Nothobranchius furzeri: one gene and its partners. The protein of the gene in region 1 interacts with the protein of each later gene in a pairwise test. Links are inferred from orthologs where the notes say so. Each region holds a gene or a part of one and is shown in the gene's direction. Other genes may lie near its edges. The genes, in order: nfe2l2a; mafga; waca; troponin T, slow skeletal muscle; mafk.

Region 1 (4,201 bases):
AGTTATCGAAGCAGTTTATTTGGCAGAAAAAAGTTAAAGTAATTCTCATTGTTCAGTGTATATTTCCTCTGTTGTTTCAAATATGTTCAAATGAATAAGTACTGTGCAAAAGTCTTGAGTCATTCCTCATTTTCATCTTTCTTCCAAGAAATCAGACTTTCTTATACTTTTCAAAAAGCTCTTTGTCATTTATTCTGATGGTCTATCAAAGTTTTTCATTGAACTTTGGCAGTTTTTTTCTCTGTCAAGTGCAAACTTATGAAATATTTAGACATGAAAGTCTCAAGCTCAATAGAAAAACAACACTATTTTGTCTTTGACAAATTTGAAAGAAACTATTTTTTAGATTACCAAGTTAATTGCTATTAATAGGCATAAAAGCAACTTTCCCCACTTATTTAGATGAATAAAAACTAACCCAACAGTTTGACACGTAAAGTAGTAGCCTATTTAGCGACAAAACACACACATGGTTGAACTATGAAGTATCTCTCAGGTCTTGAGTTATTGTTTGAAGGCATCTCTTTGAGATTATTTTACGACACTTGAGTTTTCATATTTTGCAATTAAACAATAAAGGAAAGGAACAAAAAGCTGAAGGAGATCAGAAACACTACGTGATGATGTAACAGCACAATGACCAAAACTTGAAAACAAATAATCAAAATTCACCTTTTAATTATTTTGACCACTATATGTGACATAATTGTAAAAAGAACCTGTTGTTATGCAGTGAATCAGTTGCATACTTTTTACTGAAGACATGCAAATGTATGATGCAATGTGACATCTAGGAATTGTTAGAAAGTAGCCAAAATACCATACAAATACCTTTAAATGTGCTAGTACTATTCAAAAATAGTAAGTTACCACATATAAATAAGTGCTTTTTAAAACAGCCTTTATGTCTCCAAGAGGCATTTTCAATAAATGTACAATTTTTTTTAATAGAAATTTTCCTGTTGTCAGTAAATAACCTCAAGGAGACAGGAGAAGCCATGGCGTCCAGTCCCACACCCAAACCACCAGCAGGGCTCGCTGTTTACCAAACGAAACAAAAACATTGATAGGTAACAGCTGCAATGTTTGGAGAGGCCAATTTAAGCACAAAATATCTTTTTTAGATATAAAATTAAGCTCACGTGGATATTTGAGGATAATTTAAACACGTGTAAGTAAGTTGTGTAATAACTACTTGGGTACCAGTATGTTAAACAGTTATGAGTTTAGGCCATAGACTGGTTTAGGCAGGCTGGCATAGCGCGCATGCGCACAGCGGGTCTTATGCTCCTGTCTCATAGGCCGCCGTGAGTGGGACGATCCCGGAGCCGCAGCTTGGTGGGCGGGGCCATCGGTTCCGTGACGCTCTCGAGCTCCGGAGGAGGCAAATATTTCCCGAAAGTCAGCTGCGGCCGCCCTCACGGACAGTATTGGCCTTACGGACCGCTCGCCATTTTAACCTGCCATTTGTGGATTAATAATACATCCAGTTTTCACCTATAAGGCGTTTTATTTACGTCAGCACAGATCTCCATGATGATGGAAATGGAGGTGATGCATTCCAGTCAACAGGTAAACAATATTTGATTAATTAGCTTTCTTTGAACAAACCTTGTCAACGTCCTCTGTTATAACACTTTAGGTGGCCTTCTTATGTATTTTTAATTAAAATCAAATATCTAAGTTGGGGCAGATTGTACTATTTAATTTGGAATTATTGTGATAAAACATTTAAATAAAACCGGTAACTCATGTAAAACTTTCAGTTCTGCAAGTCATGTAACGTTTTTCTTCGCAGGGAAATCAAAATAGGAATAACATAAAATATCAGTGGCACGATTTAACCGGCGTTGGCTCTTTCCCCCTTGGCCATACAAAGTGTCATGCCTTTAAAAGTGGGTAAACCTGGAGAAAATTGTTTTCTCACAAGAATGCGCGTCCTTTCCCTCTTCCTCCTCACCCCCTTCCTCTCCCAGGCATGTGATCCCTTATCTGATACTGGCCATCTTCTAACCACCATTTTATTATATATTTAAAAAAAACATATAGTAGCTTCTATTTTTGTTGTTTTAAATCTGATTTTGTTACATAAAACACAAAAACTCTTTTCTCAATTGACTAGTTAATTATTTTACTGTGTTTAGGCAAGAATGTTGTCAAAGGGAGCTTGGGTGTTTAAAAATGACAGATCAGAGCCTAAAGCGGCTGTTTTGGAACATGTGTTGCTGTGTTTCACCACTCTCGGTCAAGGGTGAATGTCCAAAGAATAATGATCAAAGGAAAGATCGGCCCCTTTCACTTCCTTTAAATAAAGAACCATCTTAAATGATACACGTGTTCAGATCAGCCTTTAATGTTGTGAAATACTCATTATGGTGACCCGTTTCATTAGTCTTAACTTTACCTGAAAGGATGGTGGTCTGACTGGTGTGGCTGCATGTTGTCGAGGGGAAATCCAAGCTTCCTCGTTCACGTGACCACCTGAGTCTTGTGAAATCCTCATTGACCTTACAAAAGAAAAGCCACCACACTTTAGCATTTTCTGGTTACTCTAAAAGAGAATCTAACTAAAATAAAACTTCTGTGGTGCACAAAAGGAGAATTTTAAGTGCTGAACTTGAAGTTTCTATTTAAGGCCTGACTAACGCAGTTTCTTTTTTTAAGCTTTGAAAAACATCGACCACAGGTGTGTTTTCAGATGCCACCTACACTTTTTTTGAGGACTTCCTCATTCTGCCAAATGCTATAATTTCTGGTTGCATGTTCACCTTTCTGCCGGGGAGCGTGATTTATCGTAGGCAGGCTCAGTAACGTGTAATCCTTTGGCGGTCATGACTCTGATGCAACACTGAGGCAAGGGGTGTTAGTGGCTTTTTATTTTGAAAAGACAAATTCAGGAAAGATTGTGTCAACAGTGTCCAAAAATACATAGGAGCTCATCTGTTTGCTATGGTGGTTTGTCGCTATACGTTTTAATCAGATAGTTACACCCCGTTCGTTTTTGCATTGTTCTGCTTTTTGTGGGTTTTTTTGCCCAGAGTTCAGGATAAAGCCACCAATCAGAAGTAGTTTTTATTCACCGATCTGAGGAACAAACATGTCACGTGCTTCTAAGGTTTTTCTCAGACCGGTGTCTGGTTTCATGCAACATCCTGAGGTCTTGTGAAACAGATTTCTTCTGTAAATAAACTACAGAGAAAAACCCAAGAAGAATGTAAAACAACAACCAACTTTGGGGTTTTTTCATTTAAAGAGCACAAAGCATGATGGTGGTGAGTGGAAACTCAGAAGATTCTTATAGTTGTTTGGTTTCTGATCTGAATTTATGGTGTAAAATTATTTCTGTCTTCATAGTGTACAAGTTGCAAACGAACGTTTGGCTTTAAACTGGTTTAGAAAACTCAAAGGGTCGCATAAAATGATAGGGTCACTTGATTATTGAAGAGTTGGAGCGGGACAAAAGAACTCACACCTCAGTGTAATGAGATGGGTAAGGCTATCAGATCAAGACGCTGTCGGGTGTTTGGTGGCGACAATGAAAACAGAGAACAACATTTATAATTCATTCTCTTCTTCCACTTGGGCTTTGTACCACGTTGCTGACAGCGAGCAGAAACAGGACAGGGTGTGGCAGGTACGACGGCCTGATTTCACAGTTGTTGTTCCGGCACTCATCGCTGCAGGATGGCACGGCAGCTCGCAACTCTCTAAGGTGATCTGTGGCCGTCTTTCCAGGACATGGACCTGATTGACATCCTGTGGAAGCAGGACATCGATCTCGGAGCCAGGCGCGAGGTGTTCGACTACAACCACCGTCAGAAAGAGCACGAGCTGCAGAGGCAGCGCGAGCTGGAGGAGGAGAAGAAGCTGCACCTGCTGCGGGAGCAAGAGAAGGCCCTTCTGGCACAGCTACAGCTAGATGAGGAGACTGGGGAGTACATCCCTCGCCCACCACCGCCCAGCGCCCCTCTGCAGTCAGCTGGCACACCCTTGGAGGTTACTCAGGTACAAGCAACTGGCATCATTACTCCTGTTGGTGGCTGGCCACTCCTACATCATGTGATAGGCCCTGGTTGTGTTGTAGCTAGGTAACCACCTCATCTAGCAGACACACACACACAGGTGGGTCAGGTGGTTTGCATCGAAGTGGAATACATTTTAAAGCCGCCGTACAAAATCAAAAACACGCCACAAATGGAGT
Region 2 (4,122 bases), on another chromosome or scaffold:
CGCCTCTCAGAGTAAGGACTCCAAAGCACTTTACACTACAGTGTATCATTCATCCATTCACACACTGATGGTGATGAGCTACGATGTAGCCACAGCTGCCCTGGGGCGCACTGACAGAGGCAAGGATGCCGAGCACAGGCGCCACCAGTCCCTCCGACCACCACCAGCAGGCAAGGTGGGTTAAGTGTCTTGCCCAAGGACACAACAGCAGAATCCTCTGCAACCTTCCGATTACTGGACAACCCGCTCAACCTGTTGAGCTACTGCTGCCCTAACACAACTTGAGCTGGACTGTGACCAAACTTAGCCTCACATAAACAGTACAATTGCACAAACAAAATAATTACACAAAATATTCAAATGGGGGTCATGTTCTCTAGCCTTTAACATTAACTGGTTCCCCACACTCTCCCCCACAAAATAAATGTCGTCCCAACAAAGCAAAAAACTCTGGAGCGGCTGATTCCTCAGCTGGTATGGAGGTAGGTTTGGAAGATAAGTCTCTGGAAATATTTTCTGTAGTATACAGTCTTTAACATGGCACTCATCTGCTATGTCACATCATGTTGTAAAGGCAGACATTACTGGCCAGGTGATATCTGCAAGGAGGATACTCTGCTATATCTGCAGGTCAGTATACCAGACTGTAAAGTTTAACTCAAAACTTAACATAACCGAACGTCATAACCAAGTGTAACACTAATAACACTAAATACGCACGCTCTTGGTATCAAAATGTGTCTTTAAAGAGCAAGTCAACCCCTACCAGAGTCTAACTCCACTCCCACTTCATGTTTGAAAAATGCAACACATACTGTTGCCTGGCAGACCGAGAGGGCGAAGCCGCTAACAAATACACACGCACTCAGGCTCACGACAGCAATGTGACATCATAATGTACCAGTTTACGTCATAGCATACTTCTTAGCCAATAGCAGTGGCAGATTTAAATTAGAATACAGTGCAGAGTTTTTACCTGACAACGGCACAACACTGCCAGTTTTAGGCAGAATATTTAAATTTTAACTAAGATGCACTGAAGTGCCAAATTATTGACGAAACGTGTCTGCAGCACGATTAGACACTCATTTATTTAGTTTAGCAGCAAAAAAAAATGTTTATTTGGGGATGACTTGCTCTTTAAAATTCCCGGACATCATAAGTGAAATCCATGGCACAAAACAAGCAGAATTAGAAAACAGCGTTTTTAGCCCCATTGACTTGCATTCATGTTTTCATTCTTCCGGGGACCCGTGACGCAGAAGTGACTTCCTTATATGGTATGGTGCTGTCGTGCCTCTGGCCACTCCGCCCCATGCTACAAGCTACAGCCAAGTATAGGCGAGCTGCTGCAGCTGCGTGTAAAACGTTGAGAAACAGTTTTTTTGATGTGGGTATCACCATCCCGCGTCCCGGAGGTGATTTCCTATTTCGAGGAATTGCTTGTTGCCGCGGTTTACAGTAGGCAGGTAGAGCATGGGGATGTCCTCACTTGGTGTTTTTTGCAGGCGTGGAGTTTTCCACTTTGACAAGTATCAGGCACCGAGAGGTTGAGTCGTGGAATGTCAACAAGCATGTAAACCTCTGCAGGCGGCTTCTGCGAGACGTCGGTGTGCTGCCGTCTGTTTTGTCAGCCTTATTTTTATTTCTTCTTTTTTTTCGGTGGCTTGTCAACTCATGAGCATCTTGCTGTTGGTCGAACAGGCTGCTTCATCACCGCGAGTCGAGCCAGCGGCTTAACAAGACCAGGTTGGTTGTTGCTGATGTTCTTTCTTCTGATCCAAGACGAACATGCATGGATTGTTAAAATCGAACATTGTTTCGTTTATGTGAATGCTTTGATTTGATCGTCCTGAAAATAGCTTTTCGACCAGTTCATGTTGAATTGCTTTTAACCTAAGTGACTTTTCATTTAGTTAAAACCTGACAATGGTAGTCAAACATATTTTTTTTTGGGGGGGGGGGGGGGATGTCACAGCCGGTGAGCCCGAGAGAGATGTTGAATTTCAAAGCCCCCAAAAAGCGATATGTATTATTATTTTTTTTTTTATCATGCTGCATCATCACAGTGACGGATTTAGACATTCTGAGAACCCACCCCGAAATATGGCACCACCGGACAAAGGTCTGCTCGCCTGATAAGGGTCGATGCTCATCTCCAACCCTCCGTTAATATGGAGGATGGATCGAAATAGTTCTTTTGTCAAGACCGCCATGCCCATATGTCTATTGGATGATCAACATTTAGCTGAGAATGTGTGTTTTGTTGCAGCGCTGTCACGATAAACAGACACGACTGATTGTGCGTGTGTGTGTGCGTGTGTGTGCGTGTGTGTGCGTGCGTGCGTGCGCGCGAGAACAACGATTGTAAAATTGCCATGATTTGACTCACGCGATGACTGGATGGTCACATTTTGTCATGTATAGGCTAATTCCTGAATGTAAAGAATAAAACAAGCACATGACCTGACAAGCAGTTCACATGCCTTCAGTTTTTGCTGAACAGTGTGCTTCCTTTCATATGACAATGACAATTTAACAGTTTGTCATCGACTTGACAGCTGCTTTTGTCTTCCTGTGTGTGACATTATGATATTTGCATCAGAAGCTTGGCTTTGTGATAAAGCGTACTGCCCATCTCTGTCTTTCTCTGCAGCTAACAAGTAAAGATGATGGCCCTTTATATGCACAAAAAGAACGCAGATGTGGAATTAGTCCAGTATTTGATGGGAAATTACATTTAGAAAAATTCCAGTCTGGTTTTAAGCCAGTCCACAGTACAGAATCTGCAATGCTCTGGGTTTTTAATTACATTTATTGGCAACTGATTCTGGGGACTTTATTTTGATATTGTTGGACCTATCGGCTGCATTCGATACTGTTGATCAGTCTCTCCTGATTTCTAGGATGGAAGACTTTGTGGGTGTTTGCAGGGTCGCGCTGGATTGGTTTGTGTCGCACGTGGCTGACAGAACCTTCAGTGTCTCATTGGGAGATTCTACAGGTCCTTCTCAAAAAATTAGCATATTGTGATGAAGTTCATTATTTTCAGTAATGTACTGATAAATATTAGACTTTCATATATATTAGATTCATTGCACAAAACTGAAGTAGTTCAAGCCTTTTATTGTTTCTAATATTGATGATTTTGGCATACAGCTCATGAAAACCCAAAATTCCTATCTAAAAAATTAGCATATTAGCATCTAAAAAATTTCATCCGACCAATAAAAGAAAAGTGTTTTAATACAAAAAAAGTCAACTTTCAGATAATATGTTCAGTTATGCACTCAATACTTGGTCGGGAATCCTTTTGCAGAAATGACTACTTCAATGCGGCGTGGCATGGAGGCAATCAGCCTGTGGCACTGCTGAGGTGTTATGGAGGCCCAGGATGCTTCGATAGTGGCCTTAAGCTCATCCAGAGTGTTGGGTCTTGAGTCTCTCAACTTTCTTCACAATATCCTACAGAATCTCTATGGGGTTCAGGTCAGGAGAGTTGGCAGACCAATTGAGCACAGTAATACCATGGTCAGTTAACCATTCACCAGTGGTTTTGGCACTGTGAGCAGGTGCCAGGTTGTGCTGAAAAATGAAATCTTCATCTCCATAAAGCTTTTCAGCAGATGGAAGCATGAAGTGCTCCAAAATCTTCTGATAGCTAGCTGCATTGACCCTGCCCTTGATAAAGCACAGTGGACCAACACCAGCAGCTGACATGGCACCCCAGACCATCACTGACTGTGGGTACTTGACACTGGACTTCAGGCATTTTGGCATTTCCCTCTGCCCAGTCTTCCTCCATACTCTGGCACCGTGATTTCCGAATGACATGCAAAATTTGCTTTCATCTGAAAAAAGTACTTTGGACCACTGAGCAACAATTCAGTGCTGCTTCTCTGTAGCCCAGGTCAGGCGCTTTGCCACTGTTTCTGGTTCAAAAGTGGCTTGACCTGGGGAATGTGGCACCTGTAGCCCATTTCCTGCACATGCCTGTACACGGTGGCTCTGGATGTTTCTACTCCAGACTCAGTCCACTGCTTCTGCAGGTCTCCCAAGGTCTGGAATCTGTCCTTCTCCACAATCTTCCTCAGGGTCCGGTCACCTTTTCTCGTTGTGCAG
Region 3 (4,220 bases), on another chromosome or scaffold:
CTGTTTCTAGAACTGCACTTTTCTGGACTGAGACGTCTGATGTTTTTCCTGGGATCTCCTTTAGCCAGTCTTCCAGTTTGGGGGTTACTGCCCCCAGTGCCCCGATGACCATGGGCATTACTGTCTACACCGTTGCCGCTCAATCTGCCTCACTTCTCAACTAATCCCGTGATACAAGCTAGTTTTAAGATTTGATCACAAATCATTTTAAATATACTTCCCCATCAGTACACATGCCCATCACTCTAAATAATTTATTTCCTCCTGGTCTCACTGATGTTATATATCCCCATCAAGGAAATTACCACCTGAAGTGTTGCGCCAATGCCCTATTCAGTGGCACTACTGGTTACTGATGCGGGTGGTGGTCTTTACGTGTGTTTAAAAGAATTGCAGCTTGTGTTTATTTCCGATGATGTTTATTAGTTCGTCTTCTTCCAAAATGTCCATGATCCATTTACTCGCAATTAAAGTGGTTTACAATGAATGCGTTACTTGCCCCAATGGCTGTCCGCAGAGTCCATTACACACAGCCATTGTCCTCACTACACAGTAAAAAAAACTGTTTGTCCCATTTCAGCAACATCTGAGTCTGATCTGAATTGGTTTAAGTAGGCTGGTGCTTCCACAATCAAATCAACCAATCAGCTGAGGCCAAGCCTCCTCTCAGGTATGCAGACATAAAACACATTTGACTCCTACACCACCTTTGAGGACCTCTATAGGAATGGTTCTTTTTGGAGTTTTTCAGAACCCTCTTCCAAAGCAAAACTTTTGCTCTCTCACCTGTTCCGTTATTTTCAGGAACAGGTGCATTTACTTTTGCTGAGGAAGGTGTTTCCTAACCAAAACACATTTTATGTTTTTTTTTTTTTACAAAATCAAACATAGTTATAGTGATAGTTAAAATATAACTATAAATAAATGTAATACATAAAAATGTAAAACCCCAACAGGCTGCACCAAAAACGGCCATAGTTGCCCACCCTACGTTGATTACAGCTATGCTCTGGAGAGTGAGGAACCCACCCAACATGGCAGCCACGCTTTTACGCTCTCCAGCTTCCAATGAGGCGTCTACGTAATGACGTCGCAATAAGGTTGCCAAGTTTGTATTTAATACATGTTTTCCGTAAACAAGCCCCCTTTAAATAACAAGTTATATAAAACTGTATTAATAAGTAATTAATATCCTTTTCCATGGGGCAATAAAATATTTTTGTCTTATATAATTCACGCTCTGGCTTAAAAATGTTTTTTGTTAAATCTGATTTAATTTAGTAGTGTTTAGTAGCATTTGATCTATTTTTACATCTATAAAAATGTCAAAAAGATTCTACACTTAACTAGTACATGTATGAATACAGAATCCTTGCTCAAGTATCTGGCAACCCAGCAAGAGCTACTGCTGCGTTTTGATCGCTAGCTAGTCGGCTGCGTGAGAGTGGGAGATGGACTGAGTGAGGGTGCTCTCTAGACCTGTTCCCGATAGCATTGCTATACCCACAAGCTAGGCTGAAATAACAGACGATTTTTATTGCTACATCAACAACAAAAACAGTGTCATTATCAGTCTTTCACATCCCACTCTAAACACACTAACACGGCATTGATGGTAATGTATGCAAGGAAACAACCGAGACTCGGCGATGGGTAAACATCATTTTAACGTTACTTATTTTCTTTTTCCTCGTAGCTACTGCGCTTTCACAATCCGCCATTTTTACTGAAAGCCAAATTAAGTGACTAGAAACTTGAGCGTTCAGCTGTTGCTCCACTGGAAAACACATTTTCAGTGCCGATATTTGATGTAACACATTCACAACTGTTTACTTTCTGTCTGCAGGTGCGACCGAAGAGATTCTCAGCCCTATCAGGTACTTGTTTGGACACCCAAGGCTGTTAGCATGCTAGCAGCAAAAAAGATTAAAATGGACACTCTAGCTCAGGCTTCTGTGGTGTGCAGGCCTCGGTGCGGAAAATAACACGAAAAGTAGGAGTCTCGCTTAAAATCACAATTTAAACACAGAAAACACACGCAACGCGTCTATTTTGGGGCCCACGTAACGTACGCGTACACAGGGCCGTCGAATAACGCTGCTTTGACACGACAGAAAGACTTTTACTGCGGATCAAAGCTAATGTTAGCTGATAGCCTGATTGCTCGCTATTCCGATTAGGGCGCCGCCGAAAATCAGTCATTTTAAGGATGTAAGCAGCAAAATGCGACTAGTTTATGGCCTGAGGCTGTACACGTAGAATAAACATGACACTGAAGCGAAGACTAATCAGGACGTGTCTCCTGAAGTGTTGCCTGGCCTTTTAAAAGCCTGGTTGTACGTAACTATGTTGGTTTATGAGCGCCTCTCTATGCCAGGTTAGTGAGACTACCTCTAACTCTCATTAATCAAGGTGAGCTCAATAAAATTGCGTTCTGTTGGATCTTTATCAACTTTACTGAAGCTGGCGTCATAAAGGAGATATTAGGGTTGATGTTCACTCAAGAGGCAGGTGTCTTAATGGTAATGAAACAGTCTGATGTTCTTAATGACTGGAGGTTCTGCTCTTGACGCGTGATTTTAGCAGGTAAATGTCCTCATTTACAAACGAGGTGTTTCAGAGGGAGCGCACAGAGAAAAATCAAATGGAAGGAATCTGGTTTCTCATAGTGGAATGAAGCAATGTTTAGTCCTTGTGCTCTTCCTCATTTCCCCCCTCTGCCATGAAATTGTGTATTTGTAATAACACAAGCTAAACGTGACTCAGTTTAAATCCTTTGGTCGTGTACATTTGTAATAACACGCATTATGGAAGTTCCTCTGATGTAAACCAGCTGCGATTACTACAGTTCCCTGACATGTTTGTTTTGTGTTTACAGACTCTTAAGTACTCATCCAAGAGCCATCCAGGAGGGGACCATCGACACGAAAAGACGCAAGACTCCTCTGATGTCACTCCTCCCTGCAAAATGCTCAGGAGGTCTGACAGCCCTGAGAACAAACACGTGGAGAGCACAGGACACAGCAGAGCCAAGGCTGTCCACACACACCGGGTCAGAGACCGGGACGGAGGTAAGGTCCTGGTTAATGCAGATAACTAGATGAGTATCACCAGTACGCCACATAACTAAATGTTCACTAAGTTTACCACATGCTGCCTGGTCAGTCAAGTGTAAAGAGCAAATCATGTTAAATATACACGGCTTTCACCGCGGCTTGAAAGCCTGGAAAGTGTTTGAATTTTTAAAATGATGAATTTTCAAGATTGTGAAACTGGTTGTAGAGAAGCAATCTTTCTTTTCTCAAGACGAGGAGGATTTTTTAAGGGCATGATGGTTTGGCTGTGTTTACTTTAGCAGCATGCTATCCAGGTGTAGTTAGCTTGTCATCTAAAGATGTGTGTGCTGTAGCGTGAGCCACAGTTAGGTCCAGCATCTGGGTGTGTGTGTGTGTGTCTATGTTTACTATAGCTCCATTCTCTTGCATCATTTTTGACCCATGAGCTGACTGGAAGCAGAGGAGACTTGTGTAATGATAAATGCCTGTGTTGGTGGAACCAGTGGATGCTAAGGCTGGGCAATATGGACCAAAACTTATATCTCAATATATTTTTGCTGAATTCCCATATAAATATATCTCAGTAGTTTTCCTCCTGTAAAGTATTTACAAGTTAACTCACTTCAAGCTGTCTTGAGAAATTATAAACATACATCAGTATATTAAATGCATAAAAATGTGTTGATTCTTGTCAAACTTTAACCGTAGTGCCTATTCTCTGGTGCAGCGGTCTGTTAACACACACACACGCGCGTGCACACACACAGTTGAGAGCTAGAGGTGTATCAAATGTCCCAGAGGCACTTTTTAATTATATATTTATAATTGATATAAAATAATTTCAATTTCTTCTAGAGGTGGGCCATATTGTATACTTCTTGCCCAGAGAAAAAACATCTATCATGTTAAACTAAATTTATGATGATGTAATTGCATCTACTGAAGATCACATGGGTCATGCACCATGGAGTTAATAGTTATCAGGGCAAACATGGCTGCAGTCTAACAGTATTGGCTCATATCAGCGATTATACTGCAATGACTCAGAGACTCTGGTTGCTGTTTTATGAGTATTATTTTCAGGCTTCTGTCACCGTAACCCACGCCTTCCTAACTCTTCACTTGTTCAACAGAATCGCTCGTAACAGAGTACTTACTAGCATA
Region 4 (3,681 bases), on another chromosome or scaffold:
ACTTTTGAGCTAAAATATCAAATATGCTGAAGTCATCATCAAGTCAACAGATCCAAGTCGATTCAAGTCGCAAGTCATTGGCGTTCAAGTCCGAGTCAAGTCGTAAGTCTTTATAGATTTCAAGTCAGAAGTCATTAAAATAATGACTCGAATCTAAGTCGTGTGACTTGAGTCCAAGTTATGTGACTCGAGTCCACACCTCTGCCTAAGAGTCATCTCTTGGGGGTAATGATGATGGAACTCACGTAAAGCCTTTACAAACCAAAGTGTCCAGAAATGTGGCTGTTTCATACTGCAGCATGTCGCTTCAGACACTTTACTGTTGAATAACATTTCCATGTGTGAGCTACTGTCCGGATATTTGGGGAAACAAAAGTATAATTTATCCTCTTCATTCTGCAAAAAAGAAGAAGAAAAAAAGCAGTGAGGGTCAGTAAGGTCATTCACCAAGCTGTGGAATAAATTAAAAATGGAGCTGAAGGAATGTTCATCAATGTGCTCTAAAAGAAATGTAAAAGAACATATTCAGAACAGTTTTGTGAAGTTTACTGAGCATGAGTGTGTTTGTGTGTGTGAACATTTTGGTGTATTTATGATATAATTAAATCATTGACTCGAGTACAAATATGAGTATAAAATTAAAGTAATGAGAGTGGACAAAAGTTTGGGAGAAGGGATATAATTAGTTACATTTGTACTTCTTCCCATCTCTGTTTGGATATGATTGAATTCATGTAATTATTTGCTGCTTATATAATTGTTTTTCATTGCTTTTCTGTTATTTCTGTGTTATTGTTATTGATTCATTTGCCAGACAGATGGAGCTTGAGATCGATAGGTGGGTCGGTGCTGCGTCTGCAGTGATGCAAGAGCTGAGCCGGACGGCGAAGCTCTCGATTTCCATTTTTGGTTCTTTTTAAAACACGGGAAAGGTTTTTCTTTACCTTGCTGACGTACGTTTCGTTTGCTGACTGCAAAACATCCTCAGAGCTGACGCTGATTGTGGCGTCACTTCCTACTCCGTTTATCCGCTCTGGACTTACCGGTCGATCTACGTTCCTACCCTCACCGATGGTCACGAGCGTTGGGTCGAAATGAGTTTTCTCTGCAGGGTGGCTGGGCTCTCCCTTAGAGATAGAGTGAGAAACTCGGCCATCTGGGAGGGGCTCGGTGTAGACCCGCTGCTCCTCCACATGGAGCCAGAGGAGCCAGTTGAGGTGGCTTGGGCATCTAGTTGATGCCTCCTGATCGTTTACCTGGTGAGGTTTTTGAGGCACGTCCAACCAGGAGGAGACCTGAAGGAAGACCCAGGACACGCTGGAGGGACTATGTCTCACGGCTGGCCAGGGAACGCCTTAGGGTTCCCCCGGAGGAGCTGGCCCAAGTGGATGGGGTGAGGGAAGTCTGGGCCTCTCTGCTTAGGCTGCTGCCCCCATGACCCAACCCCGGATAAGCGGATGAAATTGGATGGATGTGTATATTTAAAATAAATGTACTAATAATACTAGGATTTCAGTAAAATATGTGGTCAAACGAGATAAAAAATAAAACCTGTGATTTTAATTCTGTTAGGTTTTTGTTTTTGTCCTTTAGGCCGATGGTCACTCAGCTCGCTCCACCAAAAATCCCAGAGGGGGAGAGGGTGGATTTTGATGTGAGTTCCTTCAACAGTAAAACCAAAACTATTAATAAGTTGTTCTAGATCAGTAAATCTCCCTGTGTGCTGCCAGGACATCCACAGGAAAAGAATGGAGAAGGATCTCCTGGAGCTTCAGACGCTGATCGATGTCCACTTTGAGCAGAGGAAGAAAGAGGAAGAGGAGCTGATCGGACTCAAAGAGAGAATTGTGATCAATTTTTCAAGCATTTGCCTTCATTTTCTCCTCTGAAAACCTACAGCAACCCTTCTGATCAACAACATAAAGGTTCTGCTCTTTTGTAATCATTTAGGAGAGAAGGCGAGCAGAGAGAGCTGAGCAGCAGCGTGTGAGGGCTGAGAAAGAGCGGGACAGACAGACACGCATTGCAGTAACTGATTATTTGATTACATGCATTATTTGATATTAAACTTTTGTTTGTTTTTCAATGTGTAGTCGTGCTTTTTTCAGGAGGAGAGACAGAGAAAAGAGGAAGAAGAAGCCAAGAAGAGGGCAGAAGATGAGGCCAAGAAGAAGAAGGTTCTCTCCAACATGGGGGCTCATTTTGGAGGATTTCTAGCAAAGGCAGGTGTAGTTTATCAGCAGGTGGATTTAAAATGATAGACATAGCTTGATCTGATGGTGGAAGTACTTTGTTTTCTGCAGGAAGAACAAAGACGAGGCAAAAGGCAAACGGCGAGGGAGATCAAGAAGAAAACTCTGGGAGAACGAAGAAAACCCCTGGGGATTGAGAACCTGAGGGAGGACAGCCTGAGGTCAGTGAAGGTCTCACAAAAGGTTGATGTGTTCAGGGAGTGTCATTTAAACGTGATGTTTTCCAGAGAGAAAGCCAAAGAAATGTGGGAGTGGATCTACCAACTAGAGTCTGAGAAGTTTGACCTGACCGAGAAGATGAAGAAGCAGAAATATGAGGTAGCTGAGAATGCGCAAAGTTCAGGTCCTAAAAACTGCAACAACTCTGACACAAATTTCATGAACTATTTTTACAGATTAACGTTCTTCTCAACAGAATCCAACATGCGCAAAAATTGTGAGTCAATCCGCTTGTTAATGCTAATCCACAGCACAAATCCTAAAGCCCAGCTTGCAAAGCAGAGCCTGGTAAACCTTTGACTATGCAAACATAGCACAGATTAATGGCTGCAGCTTATAACGAGCTCGAGAAACCGTGCTTCATAGCAGACAGGATGAGATATTTACACAGCTATATGAAGCAGAAAGCAACAGTAGAATATCTCACTTTGAAATCCTGCTGAGAAATAATGATCAGTGCTCTGAAACGCTGCTAGTAACCTGGTCCGAATCTTCTCTTGCAGCAAAAAGGTCCACGGCAAAGGGAAGGTGGGAGGACGCTGGAAGTGACGATGTTTCTCAAGCTGCAGCAGTTTTGTGACATTCAGCTGTTTTATTTTGTTGTTTGCTTGATTTCTGAGTTACATTTGGATCTGAAGCTTTTAAAGTGCATGCAAAAATAAAAGAACATTTACACTGGTGTTATTAAAATGCAATCAGATTTATTGCTGTTTCATTAGATGTTTTTTTCTACTGAAAAAAGAAACAGAACATATGCAGGATCCAGATTTATTATCCTATCACTGTCTGTCCTCCTGCTAGTGCAAATCTTCCAGAAATGGGTCATGTGATGCAAAATCACTAAATCTGACATTTACTTGCATCAGGATCAGAATAAACACTTGTAGTGGAAAACATTTTTACATCTTCAGTTTGAAAACCGCATGGACGTCATCACTGCGTCCCTGGTTCCACGGTTCAAATCCCGCCTCCAGAGCCATGGCTGCCACCTTCTCTGCAAAACCCACCTCTTGCTCTTTGCTTAGATCCAAAATGTACCTAACACACACACGCACACACACACACACACACACGTGCGCGCACACACACACACACACACACACACACACACACACGCACACACACACACACGTGCGCGCACACACACACACACACACACACACACACACACACACACACACAAACACACACACACACACACACACACACA
Region 5 (4,205 bases), on another chromosome or scaffold:
CTTGAACTGCTGCTATACCTGAATTTCTCCACTCTGGGACAACAAAGGAGTATTCTATTCTATTCTATTCTATTCTATTCTATTCTATTCTATTCTATTGTCCATATTGTTTTTTGGTACTTTACCTGTAATTCTGTTATTTTCTTCCTTTCTTTAAGTGTATGTGCTGCTGTAGCAAGAGAATACTCCCTCTGTGGATCAAAAAATTCTATTCTATTCTATTCTATTGTCCATATTGTTTTTTGGTACTTTACCTGTAATTCTGTTATTATTTTCTTCCTTTCTTTAAGTGTATGTGATGCTGTAGCAAGAGAATACTCCCTATGTGGATCAATAAATTCTATTCTATTCTATTATTCTATTGTCCATATTGTTTTTGGTACTTTACCTGTAATTCTGTTATTATTTTCTTCCTTTCTTTAAGTGCATGTGCTGCTGTAGCAAGAGAATACTCCCTCTGTGGATCAATAAATTCTATTCTATTCTATTCTATTCTATTCTATTGTCCATATTGTTTTTGGTACTTTACCTGTAATTCTGTTATTATTTTCTTCCTTTCTTTAAGTGTATGTGCTGCTGTAGCAAGAGAATACTCCCTCTGTGGATAAATAAATTCTATTCTATTCTATTCTATTCTATTCTATTGTCCATATTGTTTTTGGTACTTTACCTGTAATTCTGTTATTATTTTCTTCCTTTCTTTAAGTGCATGTGCTGCTGTAGCAAGAGAATACTCCCTCTGTGGATCAATAAATTCTATTCTATTCTATTCTATTCTATTGTCCATATTGTTTTTTGGTACTTTACCTGTAATTCCGTTATTTTCTTCCTTTCTTTAAGTGTATGTGCTGCTGTAGCAAGAGAATACTCCCTCTGTGGATAAATAAATTCTATTCTATTCTATTCTATTCTATTCTATTCTATTGTCCATATTGTTTTTGGTACTTTACCTGTAATTCTGTTATTATTTTCTTCCTTTCTTTAAGTGCATGTGCTGCTGTAGCAAGAGAATACTCCCTCTCAATAAATTCTATTCTATTCTATTCTATTCTATTCTATTATTTTCCCCACAGAAGCTCACTTCCAAACTTCTGCTGAGCAGGTACCTCAGTAAAAGCTGCGGCCTTATATGGCTCAGCGTGCTTATAAATTCATTGTTTAATTACCCAGAATAACCTGTGACGTTACCGGCTGCAGTTAAAATAAGAGAAATCCTGTGACTGCTGGACTACTACTCTGCATACTTTCCTCAGGAATGGAATGCTGCAGCTGCTCCCAAAGTCAGACGGGAGGAGGAGGAGGGGGAGAGTCTGTTTTCCCTCTGTTAGTGCACATTTTTGAGTACTTTGTAGGCAGACCTGTCCGCGCACAGCAGGTGGGCATCGGAGGAGCAACAAGTAACCCTGGGGGATCTAGATCTTCCTGTTTGCTGGCAGCTCACTAACTACTTTTGTAAAGTAAGCAAAAGCGGTCAGCATCAGTGTCTAACTTCTATTTCTGGCCTCCCCCCCTCTCAGACTGACGTCAGCACAAAGTTATTTTCATGAATGGAGGGGGCGGTCACGAGGAACTGATGACGCGGGCGCTTGCGGAAGCAGAGCGTGGAATGTTGGTACATTGTTGTTGTTTTGTAGTTTATTTAGTACGAGGATCGACCGCTGCGCCGTCCGGTACCGACGCTGTCCGGATTCATCACCGCCTGAAAGCGAGCCCCGCCGGTTTTACTCCCTCCGTCTACAAACATCCGCGTTCACAGAGGTGAGCTTGTTTTCCCACTTTTGCTCTTTTTTATGGAAGATGTTTTGACATTCCTCTCTAAATTGTTCAAGTGCTCGCGATGCCACAGCGGCACAGACGGGCTGCGTGGCTCGCGCTTGCCGCACACGTTTAATAACAAAAATATTTGTCTTTTCTTTATCTTTTAAAATATAGTTTCTGAAAGTTGACTTTGGGTTTGTGTGCGTTGGTCGCGAGGACACGTGTTGTTGGAGAAACAAAACACAATGTACGAAAAGACGGCGCGCGCCGAGTTGTCGCGAGTTTAAATGCATTTGTGCTGATTTAACATCAGAACTGTGGAATTTTCTGTTTGTAGTTTAATCCTTATAACGAGGAAATAAATAAAAACAGCGATTCCACTGAAAACCACTAATAACCAGTTTAACTACAACATATTCGTGATGCATTAGAGAAGATTTATTTGTTTATTTATTTAATAGGCTATTAGATTTACACCTTTGATGAGCTGTTGAAATAAAATGGAAGTGTAAACAGCAAGTATAAGTTCTGCTTTGTATGTTAAAATAATTAATTTAAAAGCACGCATTCGTTATCATGCAAAATCGCAGCTCTGCTTCTGACATGATTCAACACGTGGTCTGCATTTTATACATGTGGGACAAAGGGTAGACCACCAGGGATGACTGGTAACACAAACCAGCTACACAACACAAGGACCACATCTTTCCACAAACTCTAAATCTCTGCGGTGGAAGAAAGGGCTTCATCCCATCGCTCTGCTGAGCTATAAATCTTAGTGACTTGGGTTAAGATTAGGAAGCAGTGATCTGAAAGTGCAAAGACCTAATAGTACATGATTCTCGCTGCTCTTGCTTTATGCTTTTGCATAAAACTTGTAGTTAGTATTTTATTAATAAATGGAAGCTCTCTTCCACTGAGAGGTGCCACAGATTGGAGCTGGGTTGTCTGCTGTTTGACTCTGGTGTCTGGTGGGTGCACACAGGCACAGCGCCCTTCAGAGGAGCGGGTGTAGCTACTCCTCTGTCATAAGATGAACATGTGGTCCAGTCACTAAGGTTGTGATGTCTTTGGATGGAGAAGGGACAGCAGCTGACTCATTAGAACACAGAAGTGCACGGGGAGAAATCCCCTTCTCCACATGAAAACACACACACACACACACATTGTTACACAGGATGTCACTTTTCTGGACTCTAGTGACGGATGAAAGCGGTGTGGGGAGCAAAACGTTTAGTGGTGAGATGTTGTGAAAGTGAAATAGCTGTGGTTGCTGATTCGATGAGTCACAGGAACATGTTCCCTGTGATGTGTTTTGTTCATTCTGGAGGGAAAAAAGTTGACTGTTGATTATTTACTTTGGAAACCTGGGACTTTTTTTCAAAAAGTATATTTTATTGAGTTTTCAGTTTACTGTACACCTTTCACACAGTATTATGTTGTATACTGAAAGTACATTCTGTATAAAATCTTCATGGAACAACAGAACAATAGAACAATTTAACAATTTTGGTTGTGCTTCTGGCGATCCTCTCCAATGTAAGAGCATATATAGTATTGAAGGCAATATTCACATAGACATGTTTAACAAAACTTTGAGTAAGAAGTCCCCGAATTACACCTTGCTTTTGCTTCTCCCATTCCAGTCTTAATGCTGGTCAGAAGACCGATTATTTTCCTACTCTCCCACTTTATAAGTCCTCAGATTTTTATGTCCATCCTCTTAATATATGTTAGAAAAGGTGTCCATATTTCGTCAAATAAATGTTGCTTGGCCTTTAAGATATAGGTAATCTGTTCCAGCGGCATTGCCTATAACATCTGTTTCATCCAATCCTTCACTGTGGGCCTATGGAGCAATTTCCATGCCATAGCTAGAAACCTGGGATTTTAAACACAGGAATGCAGTGAGTGGAGTGTAAACAGGCAATAAGAGCTGATTATGTGGACAGATTTTGCATCAAAGAAAGGTCTTTTCCTGCTTATGTTGACGAGCCACCTGAACCTCAACATCTGCTTTTGCAGCATCACAGCCGCAGGTGGGGGAGGTGCCAGGTTCACACACGCACCTGTTAACAGGATTGTGTTACGGGGAGTTCCCTTGGTGCTGATGACAACTTGGAGACTCTAATTGAATGTGATTCGTAGGACAAACAAACACACCATGCTGTCTAAACATTCAGCTGTCACACCCGACCCTCAGGTGTGCCATGCGTTGGTTGTTGGACACAGAGAAATATGAACCATAATTAAAGGTTATGGAAAATTGTGTCTTCCTCCAGAGATTGCTCTTGCTTTTCTGTCTTTAATTTCAGGATCAGACAACAAGGAATACAAAATGTAGTTTTTGAGTGATTTTAATTTTTTTTTTTCTGAGGAAAACAGTGGCTCTACTTGAAACAGTGTCTGCCTCCTAAAGCTATCAACCCTTTTAGATAACTGGTAAC

Evidence for each region.
Region 2: the proteins of nfe2l2a (region 1) and mafga interact in binary tests that used the Homo sapiens proteins (3 or more experiments, as listed by UniProt). The link is inferred for Nothobranchius furzeri from reciprocal best matches to the Homo sapiens genes NFE2L2 and MAFG.
Region 3: the proteins of nfe2l2a (region 1) and waca interact in a two-hybrid assay, tested with the Homo sapiens proteins (2 studies listed by BioGRID and IntAct). The two-hybrid records come from large-scale screens. The link is inferred for Nothobranchius furzeri from reciprocal best matches to the Homo sapiens genes NFE2L2 and WAC.
Region 4: the proteins of nfe2l2a (region 1) and troponin T, slow skeletal muscle interact in binary tests that used the Homo sapiens proteins (3 or more experiments, as listed by UniProt). The two-hybrid records come from large-scale screens. The link is inferred for Nothobranchius furzeri from reciprocal best matches to the Homo sapiens genes NFE2L2 and TNNT1.
Region 5: the proteins of nfe2l2a (region 1) and mafk interact in binary tests that used the Homo sapiens proteins (3 or more experiments, as listed by UniProt). The link is inferred for Nothobranchius furzeri from reciprocal best matches to the Homo sapiens genes NFE2L2 and MAFK.

Annotation. Positions count from the first base shown.
Region 1 is NC_091754.1:21,645,177-21,649,377, reverse strand, and holds the start of nfe2l2a (nuclear factor erythroid 2-related factor 2a), read left to right. Parts: upstream 1-1,390; 5' UTR 1,391-1,533; coding exon 1,534-1,572; intron 1,573-3,606; exon of another isoform or gene 3,607-3,634; intron 3,635-3,735; coding exon 3,736-4,005; intron 4,006-4,201.
Region 2 is NC_091752.1:59,016,441-59,020,562, forward strand, and holds the start of mafga (v-maf avian musculoaponeurotic fibrosarcoma oncogene homolog Ga), read left to right. Parts: upstream 1-1,310; 5' UTR 1,311-1,749; intron 1,750-4,122. UniProt on the Homo sapiens protein: Since they lack a putative transactivation domain, the small Mafs behave as transcriptional repressors when they dimerize among themselves.
Region 3 is NC_091747.1:30,792,132-30,796,351, reverse strand, and holds the start of waca (WW domain-containing adapter protein with coiled-coil), read left to right. Parts: upstream 1-1,410; 5' UTR 1,411-1,612; coding exon 1,613-1,653; intron 1,654-1,846; coding exon 1,847-1,877; intron 1,878-2,878; coding exon 2,879-3,071; intron 3,072-4,220.
Region 4 is NC_091756.1:33,965,743-33,969,423, reverse strand, and holds troponin T, slow skeletal muscle, read left to right. Parts: upstream 1-1,394; 5' UTR 1,395-1,522; coding exon 1,523-1,654; intron 1,655-1,730; coding exon 1,731-1,847; intron 1,848-1,950; coding exon 1,951-2,028; intron 2,029-2,108; coding exon 2,109-2,226; intron 2,227-2,303; coding exon of another isoform or gene 2,304-2,307; coding exon 2,308-2,570; intron 2,571-2,647; coding exon 2,648-2,688; intron 2,689-2,974; coding exon 2,975-3,020; 3' UTR 3,021-3,175; downstream 3,176-3,681. Other genes in the region: dynein axonemal assembly factor 3, read right to left, coding at 3,371-3,509. UniProt on the Homo sapiens protein: Troponin T is the tropomyosin-binding subunit of troponin, the thin filament regulatory complex which confers calcium-sensitivity to striated muscle actomyosin ATPase activity.
Region 5 is NC_091745.1:5,283,164-5,287,368, forward strand, and holds the start of mafk (transcription factor MafK), read left to right. Parts: upstream 1-1,396; 5' UTR 1,397-1,543; coding exon 1,544-1,758; intron 1,759-4,205. UniProt on the Homo sapiens protein: Since they lack a putative transactivation domain, the small Mafs behave as transcriptional repressors when they dimerize among themselves.